4 linked regions of the Callithrix jacchus genome follow. The protein of the gene in region 3 purifies or fractionates together with the protein of the main gene of each other region. This does not show direct contact. Links are inferred from orthologs where the notes say so. Each region holds a gene or a part of one and is shown on either strand. Other genes may lie near its edges.

The links.
Region 1: the proteins of RSRP1 (region 3) and CPSF6 purify together in Homo sapiens (affinity purification with mass spectrometry; 3 studies listed by BioGRID and IntAct, with this or other methods). This does not show direct contact. The link is inferred for Callithrix jacchus from reciprocal best matches to the Homo sapiens genes RSRP1 and CPSF6.
Region 2: the proteins of RSRP1 (region 3) and C1QBP purify together in Homo sapiens (affinity purification with mass spectrometry; 3 studies listed by BioGRID and IntAct, counting the BioPlex papers as one, with this or other methods). This does not show direct contact. The link is inferred for Callithrix jacchus from reciprocal best matches to the Homo sapiens genes RSRP1 and C1QBP.
Region 4: the proteins of RSRP1 (region 3) and PSME3 purify together in Homo sapiens (affinity purification with mass spectrometry; 3 studies listed by BioGRID and IntAct, counting the BioPlex papers as one, with this or other methods). This does not show direct contact. The link is inferred for Callithrix jacchus from reciprocal best matches to the Homo sapiens genes RSRP1 and PSME3.

What each region holds. Positions count from the first base shown.
Region 1 is NC_133510.1:71,750,487-71,754,782, reverse strand, and holds part of CPSF6 (cleavage and polyadenylation specificity factor subunit 6), read right to left. Parts: intron 4,140-4,296; coding exon 4,036-4,139; intron 890-4,035; coding exon 744-889; intron 1-743. UniProt on the Homo sapiens protein: Component of the cleavage factor Im (CFIm) complex that functions as an activator of the pre-mRNA 3'-end cleavage and polyadenylation processing required for the maturation of pre-mRNA into functional mRNAs.
Region 2 is NC_133506.1:106,963,434-106,968,274, forward strand, and holds the end of C1QBP (complement component 1 Q subcomponent-binding protein, mitochondrial), read right to left. Parts: intron 3,712-4,841; coding exon 3,618-3,711; intron 1,978-3,617; coding exon 1,882-1,977; intron 1,626-1,881; coding exon 1,503-1,625; intron 1,374-1,502; coding exon 1,224-1,373; 3' UTR 989-1,223; downstream 1-988. Other genes in the region: RPAIN (RPA-interacting protein), read left to right, coding at 747-776.
Region 3 is NC_133508.1:61,969,270-61,974,329, forward strand, and holds the start of RSRP1 (arginine/serine-rich protein 1), read right to left. Parts: upstream 3,308-5,060; 5' UTR 3,161-3,307; exon of another isoform or gene 2,848-3,160; intron 2,753-2,847; 5' UTR 2,687-2,752; coding exon 2,152-2,686; intron 1,108-2,151; exon of another isoform or gene 936-1,107; intron 793-935; coding exon 641-792; intron 5-640; exon of another isoform or gene 1-4.
Region 4 is NC_133506.1:121,061,094-121,066,027, reverse strand, and holds the start of PSME3 (proteasome activator complex subunit 3), read left to right. Parts: upstream 1-1,822; 5' UTR 1,823-1,908; coding exon 1,909-1,983; intron 1,984-2,071; coding exon 2,072-2,104; intron 2,105-2,224; coding exon 2,225-2,287; intron 2,288-2,485; coding exon 2,486-2,590; intron 2,591-4,730; coding exon 4,731-4,779; intron 4,780-4,934. UniProt on the Homo sapiens protein: Subunit of the 11S REG-gamma (also called PA28-gamma) proteasome regulator, a doughnut-shaped homoheptamer which associates with the proteasome. 11S REG-gamma activates the trypsin-like catalytic subunit of the proteasome but inhibits the chymotrypsin-like and postglutamyl-preferring (PGPH) subunits.

The sequences.
Region 1 (4,296 bases), on a different chromosome or scaffold from region 3:
TAAGGAAAACATTCACATTTATTTGGGTACTTTTAAAGACTCAAAATATCCAGGTTTAAATATATTTTACATAAGTAAATATCAGTTACTTTCAATACCAGTACTCTGCAGCAGCCAAGACCGAAATTCTTCAAGATATCTTAATTTGAGTATTACATCATTTAAATTTTGTAACATACTTCTTCAGTTAAGCCTTAAGTGCTAAAATATTAAAAGAAAAGGAACCACTTGAATTTCTGTTAATTACATAATTATCCATCTTATCTCTTTAAGTGATAACATCCTTAAATATGCAATGACAAATCTTTTCTATATTCAATTTACCAAGTGGTGAAAGGTCTTGTTGCCAAGCAGAAAAATCAATGAACATTTTCTGGTTATCAGTGATCTCTCCCCCACCATAACACACATCCACATAGCTTTCCTTGAATCTAAGAATTACAATGTAGTTTCTTTCTGTATCTAAGATGGAAATAATAGAAAAAGAATGGCAGGGCTACAGAACTTGCACACTGTTGTGTACTACTGAGTCCCTTACATTTGGAGAAATATGGAACAGGAGGTTTCTAGTACATAGACCGACACTCATAACCAGTGATTAAATCAAATTCAAAGAGCATGGACTTTGTGAAATGGAGTTTCTAGTGAACTAGTATTAAGATGACTTCTCTAGTGTTAACACCTAACAAATGCACTGGTTAAAATGTACGTATTTTAATAAAAGCCTCTAACGGATTGCTTACTTTTCCTGGACTGCATTTCAAATTGACTCAGGAACTGTTTATTGCATGGAGTTACAACAGGATTCTGACCATGAAGTTCTCTTTTAGGCAACAGATCCATTAACTTTTTTGAAGATGCTTCAGATCCAACACCAACAAGGGCAAACCTAAAAGGTGTTTAAGGGGTGAGGATACAAAGAGATCAATATTATTACTATTACTCTTCTATAAAAATGTCTTAATCTAATCTGCTTTTATGTAAAACAAACAAAAAACAGCTGGGCACAGTGGCTTATGCCTTAATCCCAGCTGCTTAGAAGGCTGAGGCAGGATTGCTTAAACCCAGGAGTTTGAGGCTACAATAAACTATAATCACACTACTGCACTCCAGCCTGGGCAACAGGGCAAGATCCTGTCTCTAAAAGTAAATAACTTTAAAAACTGAAAATATTTCTTGAAACTATACAAGTACACATTTTTTATTCATCTTCTATAGCATACCATAAAATTCAGTCATTTAAAATGTATAATTCAGTGTTTTTTTAGTATTTCACAGTGTTAAAACCACCACCACCATCAATTTTAAAACGTTTGCAACACCCCAAAAAGAAACTCCATATCCGTTAGCCATCACTCCCATTTCTTCCCATCCTTGTACTCTATAGAACCAGTAGATCTAATTTCTGTCTTTGTACTGGCCTATCCTGGACATTTCATCTAAATGGAATCATACAATAGGAGGTCCCTTAGGATCAGCTTCTTTAACTGGTGTATTTTCAAGGTTCATCCCTTGTTACAGCATGCATCACCACTTCATTTATTTTTAAAGCTGAATAATTTTCCATTATAAATATACCACATTAAAAGAAACTTATTCATCAGTTCATGGACATTTGAGTTGCTTCTACTGTTTGCCACAATAAAAAGATGTACAACACCATTGGGGAAGTGCAAATCAAGACCACAGGATACCACCCCATACCCAAGTATTAAATATGTAAAGAAACTGCAATCTTTGCACACTGGTGATCAGTACATATTAATAATGGTGCAATGACTCTGGCAACAATCTGAAAATTCCTCAAAAGTTTAAACATCGAGTTACCATATAACCCAGTAATTCCACTCCTAAGTATACATTCAACAGAATTGAAAATACATGTTCACACAAAATGGGTATACAAATATTCACAGGGGCATTTTCCTTAATAACCAAAAGTGGAAATAACCGAGATGTCCATCAACTGATAGATTAAAAAAGTGCTATATCCATGTAGTGGAATATTATTCAGCCATTAAATGAGATGTTGATGCATGCTTCAACATGGATGAACCTTAAAAACATTATGCTAAGGAAGAAAGCCAGTCACATAGGACTACATATTATTACATTTAAATGAAATGTCCAGAATAGGCCTATCCAGAGCACGTTAGTGGTTGCCAGCAGATAGAAAAAAAGGAAATGGGAGTGACTGCTAATCAGGTACAAGGTTTCTTCTTGGGGTGATGAAATGTTCTGTAGAGACAGTGGTAATGATTGCCAAACTTCATAAATACAAGTATCACTGAATTGTACACTTTAAAAGTGTGTATTTTAAGGCATATGAATCATATCTCAACAAGAAAAACAAATTTAAAATAATCAGAATGATTACCAATTTGTATAGCTATAGGATATTCTAAATTCTTTGAGGGATGGAGGGTCTTAGCAGCTTAAAAAGCTCAAGATCTTTTCCCCCCTAATGCTCAATATAATCTTTTTAACCTATACTTCTTATTCTAGTCAACAAATTCTGTTGATTGTGCCAGGATTCTCTTAGGTCACAACATTTAGAAGCAACTAAATTAATTTAACAAATATTTATTAAGCACCACTTCCTATACGCAAGGTACCATTCTAGAGCTGGGGATGTAATAGTGAACAAAACAAAATCTGCTCTCGTGAAGCTTAAAGTCTAGCAAGAAGAGACAGCAAACAAGTAAAATCTATCAGAGCAGAAATAAAGGAAACAAAATAGGAAGCTGCTACTTTGCACAAGGTAGTCTTGGAAGAAAAACTCTCAAACAGTGTGAGTCCTAAATTAAGCAAAAGAGTAAGCCATGTGGATATCTGAGGGGGAAAAGTAAACCAGGAAGAGAAAACAGCTAAACGTCCTAGGTAAGAATTGGTCTGACAAACAGCAAAGGGACTAATGTGGATGAAAAAGAGTGATAGGAAATAGGGTCAGAAAGGTAGTGGGAAACAGATCACAAAGTACCTTGTAGACAGTGGTAAAGACTGAGACAGGAAGCCATGAAAATATTCTGAGCAGAAAGGAATTGATGTCATTTTTTAAAAGAACTTCTACTATGTGAAGCACAGACTGTAGAGGGCAGTCTATACTTCCAGTTAGGAAGCTACTGCTAAAGTTCAAGTGAGAGAGGATAGTGGCTTTGATCAAGTGGTGTAAGTGAAGTTGGTGAGAAGCGTTCAGACTCTGCAAATATTTTAAAAATATTCTCATTTAGTATAAACTGGTATAACCTTCTAAGATAACTAAGCAATATACGAAATAAGCATATTCTTTATCTTTGTGCATCTAACAATTTATCCTTAAAAGAAAACCCAAAATCTGTACCTGAAGACGTAGATAAATGATGCCTGCTGCAACATTATTTATAACAGGCAAAAGTGGAAACAAGCAAAATAACAAAAAATAAGAAAGGTAAATTACAGGCATTCGTTTACCTTTCTAATTTAAATTACCTTTCTAAATTATCTCTCTATGACATTAGAGAGGATGTGTATTTATTTTTGTTCCTTATATCAAACACAAACACATGAATTATAATTCCTTTCGTTTTTAAGGAAAAGCCCAAAAGAATCTTCACTATGTTAAAAGTAATTATCAATGGATGGTAGGATAGTGACATTTTATTTCCTTACTTCTGGATATTCTCATTCTCATCCTTCTCACTTGTACAGTTCAATAGTTAAATAAAGCAAAACAGCCATGTAATACACATCATTCTTCAGTTGCTCATCTTCTCCCATCTCTTAATCACAGAGAGAATAATGGTTCTTAAACTGTCATTTCAACAACCATCTCAACCACAGATGGAGAAAACTTGGGAAAATTAGAAAACAGATCTGTCCACATCTCCACTCCACTAGTTTTAGTGTGCTAGGTAACAGGGTATATAAAATGAATAGTATCCATCTTTGTCCAAGAACCTCCACAAGTGTAATTAATTAACACTAACTTAAAGGAAAGTTAACTTGTAAAAACTGTATCACTAGCTACTAAGTCAAAAAGAAAGAAAGAATTCTTACCCCTTTGACTGGCCATTTGCCCGATTTTCAAAAAATTTTATCTCCAAAATATCATTTACTCCCAAAGAATGAACTGCTTCAGTTAAGTCTTCATCTGTCGTCCACTGCAAGATATTTTCCCCCTTGTTAACCATTAAAATATAGCCAAGATTTTTACTATCCCAATTTAGTTTTTAAGGGGAAATTCGGGACATAAAAGAGAAAATGAATGCTGAGTGCAAATCTAAGTCTAGTTATGGCCAGTCAGGCTCCAAGCTTTAA
Region 2 (4,841 bases), on a different chromosome or scaffold from region 3:
TGGCGCATGCCTGTAATCCCAGCTACTCAGGAGGCTGAGGCAGGAGAATTGCCTGAACCCAGGAGGCGGAGGTTGTGGTGAGCTGAGATCGTGCCATTGCACTCCAGCCTGGGTAACAAGTGCGAAACTGTCTCAAGAAAAAAAGGGTAACCTATTTATGCCTAGTGTTCCATTATTGGAACACTAAACCTGTGGGAGTTATTGATGCCCTACTGCTCAAGGTCATCCCCAAGTTCTATTTTTCACACAAAAAATTTGCATAAATAGATTAAGGACAAACTGGATTCCTCAGCATATTGGTAGGCTGAGCCATCAGGGAACTGGGAGCCAGTTTTACACTCAGGTGCTTACAAATCAAGGGGAAGACAGTTTTCTGCCTATACTGATCATGCATGGTTTGTACCTCCCCTATGATACATACCTGCATCAATCTTGTGTAGATTTGGAGTCTCATCTTCCTGCTGGGCTTTAAAGGCCCCAGGCTATCAAGAGTTTGAATACAGTCTTTCTGGTCACTGGCTTCCTGAGGGTAAGGGTGTTTGATTAGTTCATCTACAGGATTTAATCTTAGCTTGAAGACTATATTGATGCTGAAGGTTTCCAAGACAGTTGTTTGAAGGCTGCAGGGCAGAGGCCCAGCAAAGCAAGAGGGGCAGTCATCAGTGACCTCCTTGACAAATTACACTAGTGATAACTGTCATGACTAGAATACAATTTAAGCTAATTATTTTCCTGTTTAAACCTAGGCTTGTGATACTTGGGCTGTAATCCTCTAGAGCCAGCTTGGAGTCACATCATTCTATCCAGTTGAAGACAACTCATTCCCTCTGAGGAGCCTTGTACATATAAGTCTTTTATTTCTAACTTATTTTATATTGAAATTTTTCAACGATACTGAATGAAAAAAAAAAGAAAACCTTTCCCAGTATCTGTTTTTGTTTTTTTGTGACGCAGGTTTAAGGGGGAGGAATAGAAAAGACAAACTGCCTTGGAGGAGATAAACCAATTTTATTGTCTATTATGTTATACAAAAATCTACAAATAATAGATTTGTACAGAAAAAAATGGTAATAAATGAGAGCGTAAAACATATAATTTAAATTTGATGTTTTTTTCCCATGATATTAGGATAATAATTTCAAAGCACGTGTCTAGCTTCTGACTTGGATTTGTTTAATGGCCAAAGCCTGCCATAAAACTATGGCTTTCAGTGTCTGTCTGCTCTACTTGCTCTTGACAAAACTTTTGAGGTCTTCAAGAAAAGTAATGTACTCCTGGTGCTCCAGGGCTGTGCTGAGCTCCACCAACTCATCTGCAAAAGTGTTGTCCACCCCTCGGTCCGCAAGGAAATCCATTAGGTGGTCATACAAGGCCTGCAAAGAACAACATTTACTAGTTAAAAAAAAAATCTCTAATTTCCATTAAAATTCTTCTTTCTCTCCTTGAACTAGGACCCTCCCTTGCAAGGTCCGAAAGATTCCCCCATCTTATCAAGCACTCACCCAGTCCAGGGAATCTGTGTTGAGTGTGTAATTAGTATCCTTCCATTCAGAGTTGCCAGTGGACTGAAAGCTAACTTCCCTGATAGAGAAGATGTCACTCTCAGCCTCATCCTCTTGTCCAACCTGAGAAGAAACAGTATCTGGGGAAACTGAAGAGTTTTCCAGGACAAGCCAGACTCATACAAAGAAAGGGGGTCACTGACAGCATATCACTCATTAGGTTTTAATACTCTTCCCTCACTTCATACCTCTCCCTCCCCTGGCTTTGCTGGTCTAAGCTAGAAAATCTTTAAATGTCTACTAAAAGGGACAGGAAGTTCCCAAGAGACACGCTGTGTTCCCCAGGGGTACCAAGGGGCTAGCACTCCATCCTGCTTACCTCATCTTCTGGATAATGACAGTCCAGCACAAGGGCCTTCTTGCCATCATTCTTTATAACTTCAACCACGAAATTGGGAGTTGATGTCAATTCAGGCTGGGAAAAGAAACAAGAAGTCAGTACATGCCATTGCTGGAAGGAGATGGATGCCTGGATCAGGGATCTCAGACAGTTCAGAGTGTCTGATGGCCACCACTGCTAGGATACAATGTAGCCATTTTAATAGTCTTATGCCATACTGTTCCCAAATGGAGAGCTTTATCTCTTCACAGCTCAGGCCTATAATCCCAACACTTTGGGAGGCTGAGGAGGGTGGTACACCTGAGGTCGGTAGTTCAAGACCAGTCTGGCCAACATGGTAAAACCCTATCTCTACTAAAAATACAAAAATTAGCCAGGTGTGGTGGTAAGCGCCTGTAATCTCAGCTACTCAGGAGGCTGAGGCAGGAGAATCGGTGGAAACTGGGAGGCGGAGGTTGCAGTGAGCCATGATCTTGCCATTACACTCCAGCCCAGGCTGACGACAGCGAGACTGTCTCCAAAAGAAAAAATAAATAAAAGGATACCAGCCTCAGCCATGTGCCAATTAACTGAGTTTCTATCAGTCCCTTAACATTCCAAGCCTTTTTCTCCACCCATATACTGCAGAAAGTTTCAAGATCTCTTTCCAGCTTGACTGTTCCAAGAGTCTTCATAAGGGACCAGGGTCAAAGGCTGGGGAACCTGGTTAAATGGCCATCCTTATGGCTGAATGACAGCACCAACTTTTACTGATGGTGAGCTCTGGGAGCAGACTAGGTCCAATGTCAGGGAAATGATAGTTGGGGTGGCTGGGAAAGAAGCATACCAGAGAGCTATGCTGACCATACCAGGTCATGAAACAACACTGTACTGATGGCTGCTTTGGCAGAAGCTCTAGGGACTCTGGCTCTCATACTGGCTGGCTACTAGGCCGGGCACAGCACTTCTTAAAATGTTGGAAGAGGCTGGGCATTGGTGGCTCACGTCTGTAATCCCAGCACTTTGGGAGGCGCAGGTGGGCGGATCACTTGAGGTCAGGAGTTCAAGGCCAGTCTGGCAAACATGGTGAAACCCCATCTGTACTAAAAATACAAATATTAGCTGGTTGTGGTGGTGCATGCCTGTAATCCCAGGTACTCGGGAGGCTGAGGCTGGGGAATCACTTGAACCTGAGAGGCGAAAGTTGCAGTGAGCAGAGATTGCACCACTGCACTCTAGGCTGGGCAATGGAGTGAGACCGTCTCAAAAAAAAAAGTCTCCCTATCATGGGAAAGGTTGAGACTGTTTCATATCCTTTCCATTAAGAGAACACTGTCCTCACTTCATCTACTTGACTGTAAGCAACATATTCGGTCCCTGGGAAAGAAAAGGGAGCCACAGTGCTGCTAAAGCTGGTCAGAAACCACTGATTCCTCCTGCCTCAGTCTCCTGCATAGCTGGAACCACAGTCATGTGCCACCATGCCCAGTTAATTTTTTTTTTTAAATGTTCGTAGAAGCAGGGTCTTGCCATGTTCCTCAGGCTGGTCTCAAACTCCTGGCCTCAAGGGATCTTTCCAGCTTGGCCTCCCAAAGGGCTGGGATTATAGGTGGGAGCCATGGGCCTAGCCTTAGAGGATTTTTTTTTTTAATGAACAAAGAAAAATGCTCCTCCTCTCAGCCCCAGTGACAGCCTGTCAGAACTTAGGTAAAAGCTGATTACAGTGTTAAGCTTACCTCCTGTTCTTCAACCTTCTGCCCTTTCGAGGGTTCCTCCTCACCATCAAATGTTGGTGGGATGCTGTTGTTAATATTGAAAGTGACAGTGATTCTAAAAGGGCAAGAGACAACAGACAAGGCGGAGTTTTAACTGAGTAGGTTAACACATATACATGGAGGTCTGCTACAGTTAAAAAGGCCTATTGAAACAATGTCTCTATCCTGGCTGGCTGAGTTTCATGCAGAACTTCAAACAAGGTTGGCTGCCTACCTCCAATCCCCAGTGACTCAGCAGGTCTGAAGTGTGCCTACCATGTGACAGCTGCTGGAAGCCAAAGCTGGCCTCAGTTTATCTCAGCCAAACAAATCATGCATGAGTTACTCCCAACAGGCCAGTATCCCAGGGCTCACTACCGTGTGTTGACTGGGCATCTCATGTCCATAGTTGGCAGACCCTGCTCACCCTGGTCTTTCCAGGGAATGCTTGGTAAAAGTAGGGACCTGAGAAGCTGGTGAGATGGACCAGAAGCCCCTTTAAGAGCCTTCCCCATCAGAAAATCTGCCCTGCAAGGAAAGGAAGGAGCAATGGAGGGTGAGAGCATCCTGGCCCCAGGAGTGGGGATGCCTCACAAAGAACAAAGGCTGTAGTAAAGTCATTCTTCAGAGTACTTATGGGAAGTTTTATCATCACAAAGCAGGCCCGAAAAACCAACTAATGACAATTTTAAGGTGCAAGAATCCACACATGACAAATCATATTCCAAAGTTTGAGTCAAAATTCCTGAGGTTCAGAACATGAGGTTTAGAACTAGACCTGCTGGACTACGCAACTTGGGCAGGTACTATTCAAGAATACATTAAGTGCTGCCCCCTCGACTTGTGCTAACTAGCTGCTGTGCCATGAAGTCACTTTTCCATAATAACAGTGGCAGTCTGAAGTTGACAGAAATCTATTTAATTCTAACTGTGCTGACCAAGCTGAGCTCCTGCAATGATGTTCGTCACTGTTATTTTTAATGGCCCTCAAATAGCTGTGAAAAGCTTGTGCAAATGGTTTTTAAATGATGACACAACTGACCTGTGTATGGGAAAAAACACGCTATGCAATAGGCAAAGCGAATCAGGACCTTACTTTACACCATACTCAAAATGGATCGGAGACCTAAACTAAGAGCTAAAACTAGAAAACGCTTTGAAAAAAATAAGGCATCAATCTTCACAACCTTGGATTAGGCAGTGGTT
Region 3 (5,060 bases):
ATTTCTATAAGACAGAAATAAAGCAGATAAACTATACTGTATATGCTGAGTACAAAATTTGTGGGAACATAATGCTGCAAATAAAAGCTACAAATACTCTAAAGACTAACTTTAAAAAACTGGCAATAGAAATCACCAAAGTACCAACTACAATATATTAACGTTGAGACTAGCAGTACTGTGTTAACTGAAAAAAAGTAAAACAAAAAATTTTTTTTCAGACTGGGTCTCGCTCTGCTGCCCAGGCTGGAGTACAATGGTGCAACCTTGCAACCTGGGCTGAAACATCCTTCCGCCTCAGCCTCCCAAACAGCTGAGACTACAGTCATGTGCCACCATTTTTGTATTTTTTGTAAAGACGCAGCCACGTTGTCCAGGCTGATCTTGAACTCCTGGACTCAAGCTATCTGCCTCATTACAGGCATGAGGCACCACACACGGCCAATTAAGTTCATTAATCTCCACTTTCCTGGGTATGGCTTTGCCTATCTTCAGATCTGCTACTCAGAATTCAACACGTTTTACATATATAGCTAGACTTTCCAAAAAGTATAGTCTAAGGTAAATAAATAATAAATGGCTAATCAGATTTGACAGTGGCTTTCTTAAGGTTTTGTTAGGACAAACCTAGAATACTTACTTCGGGCTTTGCACCATTACTTGATAAACTTGTTCCACGGCTTGTTTCTTTGGCTACAGGAACAGTTCTGAGACTAGCTGGCAATTCAATGTTCGTTGTTCCTAAAGCTTTCGCTGCATTGGCTTTTGCTATTTCTAACAGCTCCATTCGATCTAAAAAGAAAAATCAATTTAAACACTCATTAACCTGGTAGTTATTTCCCCCCAAGAGAACTCAGAATTACAAAGTAAGGTTGCTCTGGTTTGAGCTGTGCTGGTCCACTTATACTTGGATGCTTTCCTCCTCCTAAATGCAGGCGAAGTACTACAGTATTTGAGAAACTGGAAACCTCAAGTGTGCGGAAGTTCCATATTGGTCCTGCAACCAATCCCCCGAAGAAACGGAGGGGTAACTGTGTAACTTTCACTGAAAATTCTATTCTCTACCTCTGCTGAAAAGAATAAAATTCTTAAATTATCTCAATTTCAGTTTTCCTGACCAAAGGCCTGAATGTCCTGTTATTTTGTCTGTATTTCCGTTGTACGTAATTTTCTCTAGTTAATAGTCAACGTCATTATTATTTTTCTTTCTCTTCAAACGTCTATTTCTGAAAACCGGGGTTTTCTGCAACAATATTCTTTATATGGTACAATTATCACAACTACTGAACCAATACTGATACACTTCCAAAGTGTATTTCCACCACCACTCCGGCTAATAGTTTGTATTTTTAATACAGATAGGGTCTCCACTATGTCGGCCGGGCTGGTCTGGAACGCCTGGTCTCAAGTGACCTCCCACCTCCGCCTCCCCAAATGCTGGGATTACAGACACTAGCCACCCCGACCTGGTAAGTCATTTAAGATACTGGACAATTCAATTTTGTTCAATAATAACATCTGTCTTTTTTTTTTTTTTTTTTAAACTGAGACGGAGTCTTGCTATGTTGCCAGGCGGGAATGCAGTGGCGCAGTCTTGGCTCATTGCAACTTCCGCCTCCCAGGTTCAAGCAATTCTGCCTCAGCCTCCCCTGTACTTGGGACCACAGGCGTGCGCCACCATACCCAGCTAATTTTTGTATTTTTTTAGTAGAGACGGGGTTTCACCATGTTGACCAGGATGGTCTCGATCTCTTGACCTCGTGATGCACCCGCCTCGGCCTCCCAAAGTGCTGGAATTACAGGCGTGAGCCACCGCGCCCGGCCAAAGGCGTGTTTTCATATTGTTCTTCCCAATCAATAATTATCTTAGAAACTTTAACTTAATCATAACATTTAGAAGGCTCCACCCACTAAGAACAGTCAGCCACTAGGAAAATAGGTTCCCTCCATCCTGAACCATTTAACATCCAGTTGAATTTTAAAGGTAAAGAATGCTGTCCATTTACATACAGATAATGTCCTCCCCTTTTCCTACGATGAAAAAGATTTCGGGAACTAATACTGAAACTACAAGGCAATTTTGGTTCCTTAGCCTCCTTTTATACCGTCCCTAGCCATAGATTATCAAAAATGGAAAGATAAGTGACGCACCTTTTTCACTTAAGCGAAGGGGGGTTCTGCTCCGCGACCTCGTCCTGGATCTGTCCCTCCATCTGCCGTAATCCTCCGGGTACACTGTGCGACCGAAGCCGTAATAGCGCCGCCCCCGCGCGATTGCGTACGCCCTTCCGTAGTACGACCTTCCCCGAGAGCGCGACCTGCTACGGGAACGGGACCGGGAACGGTACCGCGAAGGAGACCGGTAGTATCTCCTAGACAGCCCGTAGCGCCTCTCTTGGTACCGGTGGCTGCGGGATCGCGACCGGCTCCGCGAAAATGACCGCGAGTAGCGCCTGTACTTCCGCTGGTGGCGCCTTCTGGAACAGGACCTTGACCGGCTCCTCCGGCTCCGGCTCCGACTCCTGGACGAAAATCGACTGGAGACGCGGGAATGGGACCGAGAGCTTCTGGAAAAAGAGCGGCTCCTAGAGCGCGACGACAGCCGGCTGGACCCACCCGACCGCGAGGCTGAGGGCGAATCTTTCTGCGGCGAGCCGGGCCACATGTCGTTCACGTAGTTGGACATCTTCACCTGCGGCTTTACCCTGCGCTTTCTCGGGAAAAGATCCCGCAAGCCTCAACTCAAGACTTCCTAAAAAAGCAAGAGGAAAAAAACAAATCGAGTCCCGGAAGTAGACGCTCGGCTGCCCGGAAGCCACAGCAAGACGCCCTCCCGGAGGCGGAGCCAACGCGCAGGCAGCGGAGCCGCGAAGGGAGCCCTAAAAACTCCGTTCAGGCCAGGCGCGGTGGCTCACGCCTGTAACCCTAGCACTTTGGGAGGCCGAGGTGGGTGGATCACCTGAGGTCAGGAGTTCAAGACCAGCCTGGCCATCACGGTGAAACCCCATCTTAAAAAAAAAAAAAAAAACTTCGTTCAGCGCACTGACGCCGCAGCCCAAAATCGAAATGCTGCCTTCCCCAAATAGAGGGCCCGGCACGTCTCCTGACCCTCACTCCTGAGCGACCACTGAAAGGTCGACCCTGTCAGCAGAAAACTTACCACAGGCTGTCGACGCCTCCCTCACGACTGAAAGAAAGGCCCAACACACGCCTTCCTTTAGGAATGTAGGACGGAAAGCGGCTTTTCGTGAATTCTCTCGAAGAACGAATTCCACAACCTCCACCTCCGACGTCCGGTACGCGCACTGAGACGGTAAGTCAACAGACTTCTCGAAAGTACCAGAAGCTGGTCCCGGCTCATGCGCAGAGACGGTGCTCCGAGGGCGTGGCTCTCCTCTCGCCCAATCACCGCCCTGCCTCTTCCCTCCCCCCCCCAAGCCCCGCCCTATCCCCCGCGTCAACGCCCACAGGGTGCGCATGTGCGGTGGGGCTCCAGAGAGCGGTGCTTGGTACATCCGGGTGTCCCGTCGCCCTTGGCTTTTTTTTTTTTTTTTCTCTTTTTCTTTTTTTTCATATTTGAGATAATTGCATGATTCACCGGCTCACCAGAAAATTTTAAAGATGGAATATCCCCGCGGGGCGCTACACCAGGCTCTGGCCTCACTGCCCCGGCGGTGCTGAATGTTAGTCCCCGGCAGGGGGTGGTGGGGCTGGGAGAGGAATGGCTGCAGGCTGGAGAGGGCTTGGAGCCCTGGCGGTCTGAGTGGCTTGTGCCCACTGGGTCGTAGCCGCCACCTACCGGCAAGCCGCAGATTCGGGCTGAGCGTCCCCGTACCCTTCTTGGCTTCTTCCTGTCCTGGTCCCGCCGCGCCGGGAGAAGGCGCCCACATCCCTGCATCCACACCCCTCCAGGAAGAAGACCGCGCCCTCCCGGGACACCCCAAGATCCCTGAGAATGCAGTATTAACGTGGAAAAGGTGTTTTACTTACGTTTCGACTAGCTCGAGACAAAACAAAGACAATTGATCTTTAATCTAGGAGAAAGAATGAAGTCTGAGATTATCTCTTCCAAAAACTGTTTGGTGTAAGAGTGTAAACAGGGCCGGGAGCGGTGGCTCACGCCTGTAATCCCAGCACTTTGGGAGGCCGAGGCGGGTGGATCACGACGTCAAGAGGTCGAGACCATCCTGGTCAACATGGTGAAACCCCGTCTCTACTAAAAATACAAAAAATTAGCTGGGCACGGTGGTGCGTGCCTGTAATCCCAGCTACTCAGGAGGCTGAGGCAGGAGAATTGCCTGAACCCAGGAGACAGAGGTTGCGGTGAGCCGAGATCGCGCCATTGCACTCCAGCCTGGGTAACAAGAGCGAAACTCCGTCTCAAAAAAAAAAAAAAAGAGTGAAATATTAGCTGTAATTGCCTGGAGGAAAAGTGTAAGCTGGCAACTTAAACAAAAGCAGGGCATGTAACAGTAAATGTGTAGTGAATTTGAGCACGGTTAGACAGAAGATAATAGAAACAGACTTTTTGAGGTGCGGTTTAAGTAGTAGGGGCGACTGCATAAAAGTGGAGAGGACGAGGGGCTGAAAATAAGTGTGTAAAGAGAAAACTTTGGAGGCTGTGAGAGCTGGAGGGTAAATGGGGCATAGCCTGTGATTTTGAGGGATTTTAAGAGTGTTAGGGCGGCAGCTGCTGCTGTGCGTTAGTCATGAGGGCCAGCCCAGGACTGTTAGGTAAGTTGTCTGGATAAAAAGCCTACAGGCCGTGGGCCTGGCTCCTGTGTAAGAATCCCAACCGCAAAGCCCTGGATTTTTGCAGTATATAATGAAAAGTGTGGCAGATAATTTTGCTAAGATATCTTGGCCTAACAGGTGAACTGGACAAGTGGGGATGATTAGATAAGAATGTGGAAAGGAGTGCTGGCCTAATTGACATCAGATGTCGGGAGTTTTGAGAGGCCTGGAGGCCTTGCTGTCAATTCCCACAACAGTTGGGGCCAAGGAGACAGGTCCTTGAAAAGAAGGGGGTGGGGTGGGGTGGGATCAGCCAAGGCAGGCAG
Region 4 (4,934 bases), on a different chromosome or scaffold from region 3:
CTATGTAAAATAGATCTCTGGTATTTTCCATGTCTGCCACTTATTTCTTAACATTTATCAAATTTTGCAGTTACCTTGTCAGTTTACTTTCTGGTGTTCTTCCAATATTATGCCCCATGGAACCAGCCACCTTGAGTCTTGTTTGCCTTTGATTTCCCAGAGCTGTGCTGTTCGGTACAGAAGCCACCAACCACATGTGGCTACTGACAGCAAATGTGGTGTTACCTTATTTCGATGTGCAGTTACGTATAAAATATGCACTGGATTTTGAAGACTTGGTATGAGAAAAGAATGCATAAGATCTGGATTTTTTTAATGTTGAATACTTGTTGAAATACTTGGATAAATTGGGTTAAATACATAACTAAAATGTTCAATTGTTTCTTTTACTTTTTAATCGTGGCTGCTAGAAGATTCTAGTCTACGTGTGACTCACATATTTCTAGGTTCTGAGACAGTGCCCTGGCCCATTTTATTGAACGAAATATCCAATCTCGAGAGGTCGAATGAATGGGTGAATGAAGATGTATAGTCTCAAGCTTCCATTAGAAAAATAGATACAGCATTGCCGTAGAAGTTTGGAGATACGGGTTCTGGCTCAGAATGTACTGGAAACGCCTTGGACAAGCCCTACCCTACTCTGGCCGTCAATTTGCCCATTAGATAGTATCTTTGAGGTCTGGAAGCTTGCTAGAATCAGTGGAAGAGAAATGCATCAGGAAAGCTTGATAAAACGGCACTTGTCGTTTCCGCTCTAGCCTAAACACTTGAGGCTCGGCAGAGGCAGCGGGAATCAGGGACTACACCCCGAGAACCCAGTACCCGGGTCCCCGACTTCTCCGAGCCTACGTCACTGGGGCGCGACGGCGTTGTCCTCGGGATTGCAGCGGCTGAGAAATTCCATTCGGTGAAGGCGAGTTCCGGGCCAACAGAGGGTCACACCATTTCCGAGTCTCTCGGAGGCTCAGTTCTCAGTGCACCATCACCCACCGCTCTCCCTTTTACTTCACCCCTATCCGACTCTTGGCCCGGACCCTGTGAACCCCGCCCGGAGCGTCCAAAGCCGAGTCTCATCGCGGCTGCGCAGGGCACGTGCACAACCTCGCAGAAGTCTCGGCGATTGGCTGTGACGCAATTTCCGGCGTGAGCGGCGAAAGCCGGGAGGGCGAGCGAGAGTGCGACCAGGCAGCAGGCTGCCGGCGGGCGGGCGGGCGGCACGGAGGGAGGGAACGAGCGAGCAGTGAGTGAGCCAGCGAGGGCGGCCGGGTCCCGAGGTCAGCCGAGATTCCGCAGGTACCTCTGGCCCCCTCCCCGGAGTCCACAGCGCCTCCGGTGTCCCGCGGATCGGACACGGCCCGGCCCGGCCATGGCCTCGTTGCTGAAGGTGGATCAGGAAGTGAAGCTCAAGGTAGCGGCGCCAGTCCGGCCTTTTTGCCCCTCACTTTGATCCCCCAGTAGTCTGACCGGCTTCCTACTCCCCATGGCGTCTTTGTCTCCCTGGGGATACCAGCTCTGAGCTTCCGCTCGGCTCAGCCCAGCCCCCAGCTCCTGGGGTCGGCTTCGCGGGAGAAGAAAATATAGGATGGCTTTCTGTACCGTGTCTGATGATGAAGAGTCCCGGGGTCACCTCCGCGGACACGTGTTGGACTCAGGGCTTTAGGCCGGTGACAGCTGGAAATCCCCCAGCCCAGCAACGTCCCTGGGCACTGCCCCTGCCCTTGGTGGTCTGCCTTGTATCATAGGCCAAGTCTGGGTGGGGATTGGCACGTTTGTGAGCTCACATCTCCCCTAACTACCTGTCTTTTGTCTGCTTATGAAATTCAGACAGCTTCAGACACAGGGAGGGTGGGAGGGAGAGGAGAGGAGACAGGCAGGTGCTGCCCTCAAGCCCTGCGTCCTTCTCCTGAGATGGAAAAATGGGTCCTCAAAAAAATAAAGTATTTGCAGTCTGGGGGCCTCTCAGCTTCATATTACAGTTACAAGGTGAGGGAAAGACAGTTGGATTTGGGATTCTCTATCCTGCTCTTACCTCTGTCCCCAGGTACTCAATTGCTCTCTTTGTTAATTTTAGGTTGATTCTTTCAGGGAGCGGATCACAAGTGAGGTGAGTGAAATAAATAGAAAAATGGGTGTTGGTTAATTGAGAGTTTCCCAAAGAGGAGATATCTATATAGAGAGACCTTCCCACAGATACTAATTCAGCTGTATTTTCCCTCCTCTTTAGGCAGAAGACTTGGTGGCAAATTTTTTCCCAAAGAAGTTATTAGAACTTGATAGTTTTCTGAAGGTGAGAGACCCTTTTCTTTCCTCAGATTCCCCAATTTTTTTGGCCCTGGTATTACTGTCAAGCGGGACAAATTGTGTGTTGAATCTTCTTCTTTTTATTTTTTTAAACTGTAAAAGCACTTTGATTTCTTGCCCTTCAAATCAAATACTTCTTTGTTCAACTTGAAAAGATTAATGTTTTGGGGTGGGTGTCTTTCAGGAACCAATCTTAAACATCCATGACCTAACTCAGATCCACTCTGACATGAATCTCCCAGTCCCTGACCCCATTCTTCTCACCAATAGCCATGATGGACTGGATGGTGTAAGTGTCCTATGTTTATCTTTGTGTTCTTGAGCAGTCGGTCCTCTGTCCTGTTTCCTTGTCAGTTCAACATGTACAGAGGCAACAGTGGGATTTGGACCTGGGAACTAGGACTCTGTTATAGACATGCTGACTCTAGTGTACTCCTTTTATTTCTTATTTATTTATTTATTTTTGAGAAAGAGTGTCACTTTTTTTTTGCCTGGGCTGGACTGTGGCAGCTCAAGCACTGCTCACTGCAGCCTTGACCTCCCGGACTCAAGCAATTTTCTTTCCTCAGCCCCCCAAGTAGCTGGGACTACAGGAGTACGCCACCATGCCCAGCTGATTTTTGTATTTTTTGTAGAGACGGGGTTTCACCATGATGTCCAGGCTGGTCTCAACTCCTAAGCTCAAGCAATCAGCCTACCTTGGCCTCCCAGAGTTGGGATTACAGGCGTGAACCACTGCACGGGGCCTCTCGTATATTCCTTTTAGACCCTGAGTTTCATTTATGACATGAAGTCAATATGCTAATGCTATTTTCAGTGTTAGAGTGAGTTTCAAATAAAAGAAAACTAGCTTTATCAGGTTACCTGGATTTTCCCATGGCTCTGAAGAAGACTTTACTTACCTTTTTTCTATGTCCTGAGTAGTATTACGGGATACAGAGTTGTTCTTGCTATATAACTGCAATCACCGTCTTTGCTCTACATTTTTAACACCTAGTCCTTACCAGTCACATGTTCACGTGCTGTTAGAACACTGATGATACTGTATTCTTGTCTGTAGTACTGCCTCACTGATGGAACTTGTATATCTGGAAGGCAGGATCTATCTTCTTTTTTTTTTTTTGAGACAGAGTCTCACTCTGTTGCCTAGGCTAGAGTACAGTGGTACGATCTTGACCTACCTACTGAAACCTCTGCCTCCGAGGTTCAAGTGATTCTCCCGCCTCAGCCTCCTGCGTAGGTGGGGTTACAGGTATACACCAACATGCCTGGTTAATTTTTTTATTTTTAGTGGTGACAGGGTTTCACCATGTTGGCCAGACTGGTATCGAACTCCTGACCTCAAGTGATCCGCCCACCTTGGCCTCCCAAAGTGCTGGGATTACAGGCATGAGCCACCGTGGTCCAGCTGGAAGGAACTATCTTATTCTCTGTATTCCCAGTGCCTAGTGTTGATCCTCATCTATGGCAGTTGCTAAATACATGTTTGTTGACTGAATAATGTGTTCCTTTGTGGAACCAGCAGATTTGTACATATTCCCTTAATTATCCTCCCTGCTTTGATTGGTTCTTTTTTCCTATTCTTTATAATACTTAATGTATTGTATTTCTGGAAAGATTGGTCTTCCCAACTAGAGCATAATTTGCTTTGTGGCAAGAACCTTTTCTTTCTTTTTTTGAGGGGGGACAGAGTCTCACTCTGTTACCTAGGCTGGAGTGCAGTGGCACAATCTCGGCTCACTGCAGCCTCAAACTCTTGGGCTCAAGCCATCCTCCTACCTCAGCCTCTCAGGTAACTGGGCCTGCAGGTGCATGTTCCATCATGTCCAGCTAGTATTTTTTGTGGAGATGGGGTTTCCCTACATTGCCTGGGCTTGTTTCAAGTAATCCACATGCCTCGGCCTCCCAAAGTGCTGGGATTACAGGCATGAGCCACGGCGCCCAGCCCAAGAATCTTTTCTTTTTCTTTTTTTTCTTTTTTGAGAAGAGTTTTGCTCTTGTCACCCAGGCTAGAAGACAGTGGTGTGATCTCAGCTCACTGCAACCTCTGCCTCCCAGGTTCAAGCGATTTTCCGGCCTCGGCCTCCCAAGTAGCTGGGATTACAGGCGCCTGCCACCACACCTGGCTAATTTTTCATATTTTTAGTAGAGATAGGATTTCACCATATTGACTAGGCTGGTCTTGAACTCCTTACCTCAGGTCATCCACCCACCTGGGCCTCCCAAGGAGCTGGGATTTCACATGTGAGCCACTGTGCCCAGCCTCCGAGAACCTTTTCTTAAAGCTTTATATGTACTTAGGAAATTGTACAGAAATTAATAACACAAGCTGTGAGGCTGAGGAAGGGATTAAACTTGTTTGAAGGGTATCTTGTGATGGAAATGTGGGTGTCAAAAGCAGGCTCATCCCTGCCTCTTTGTATCCATAGCCCACTTATAAGAAGCGAAGGTTGGATGAGTGTGAAGAAGCCTTCCAAGGTAAGAGCCACCCTTACCTCCTCTCCCCTCACCTCACCCCTGACTTGCAGCCCTGAGAAGCAGGATGGATATAGTGTTCTGACCAGGAAGCAAGATCTAATCTTATTTCCCAGAAGCAGCATTCCCAGCTCCTCCAAACGTGCTCGTTATTTAGT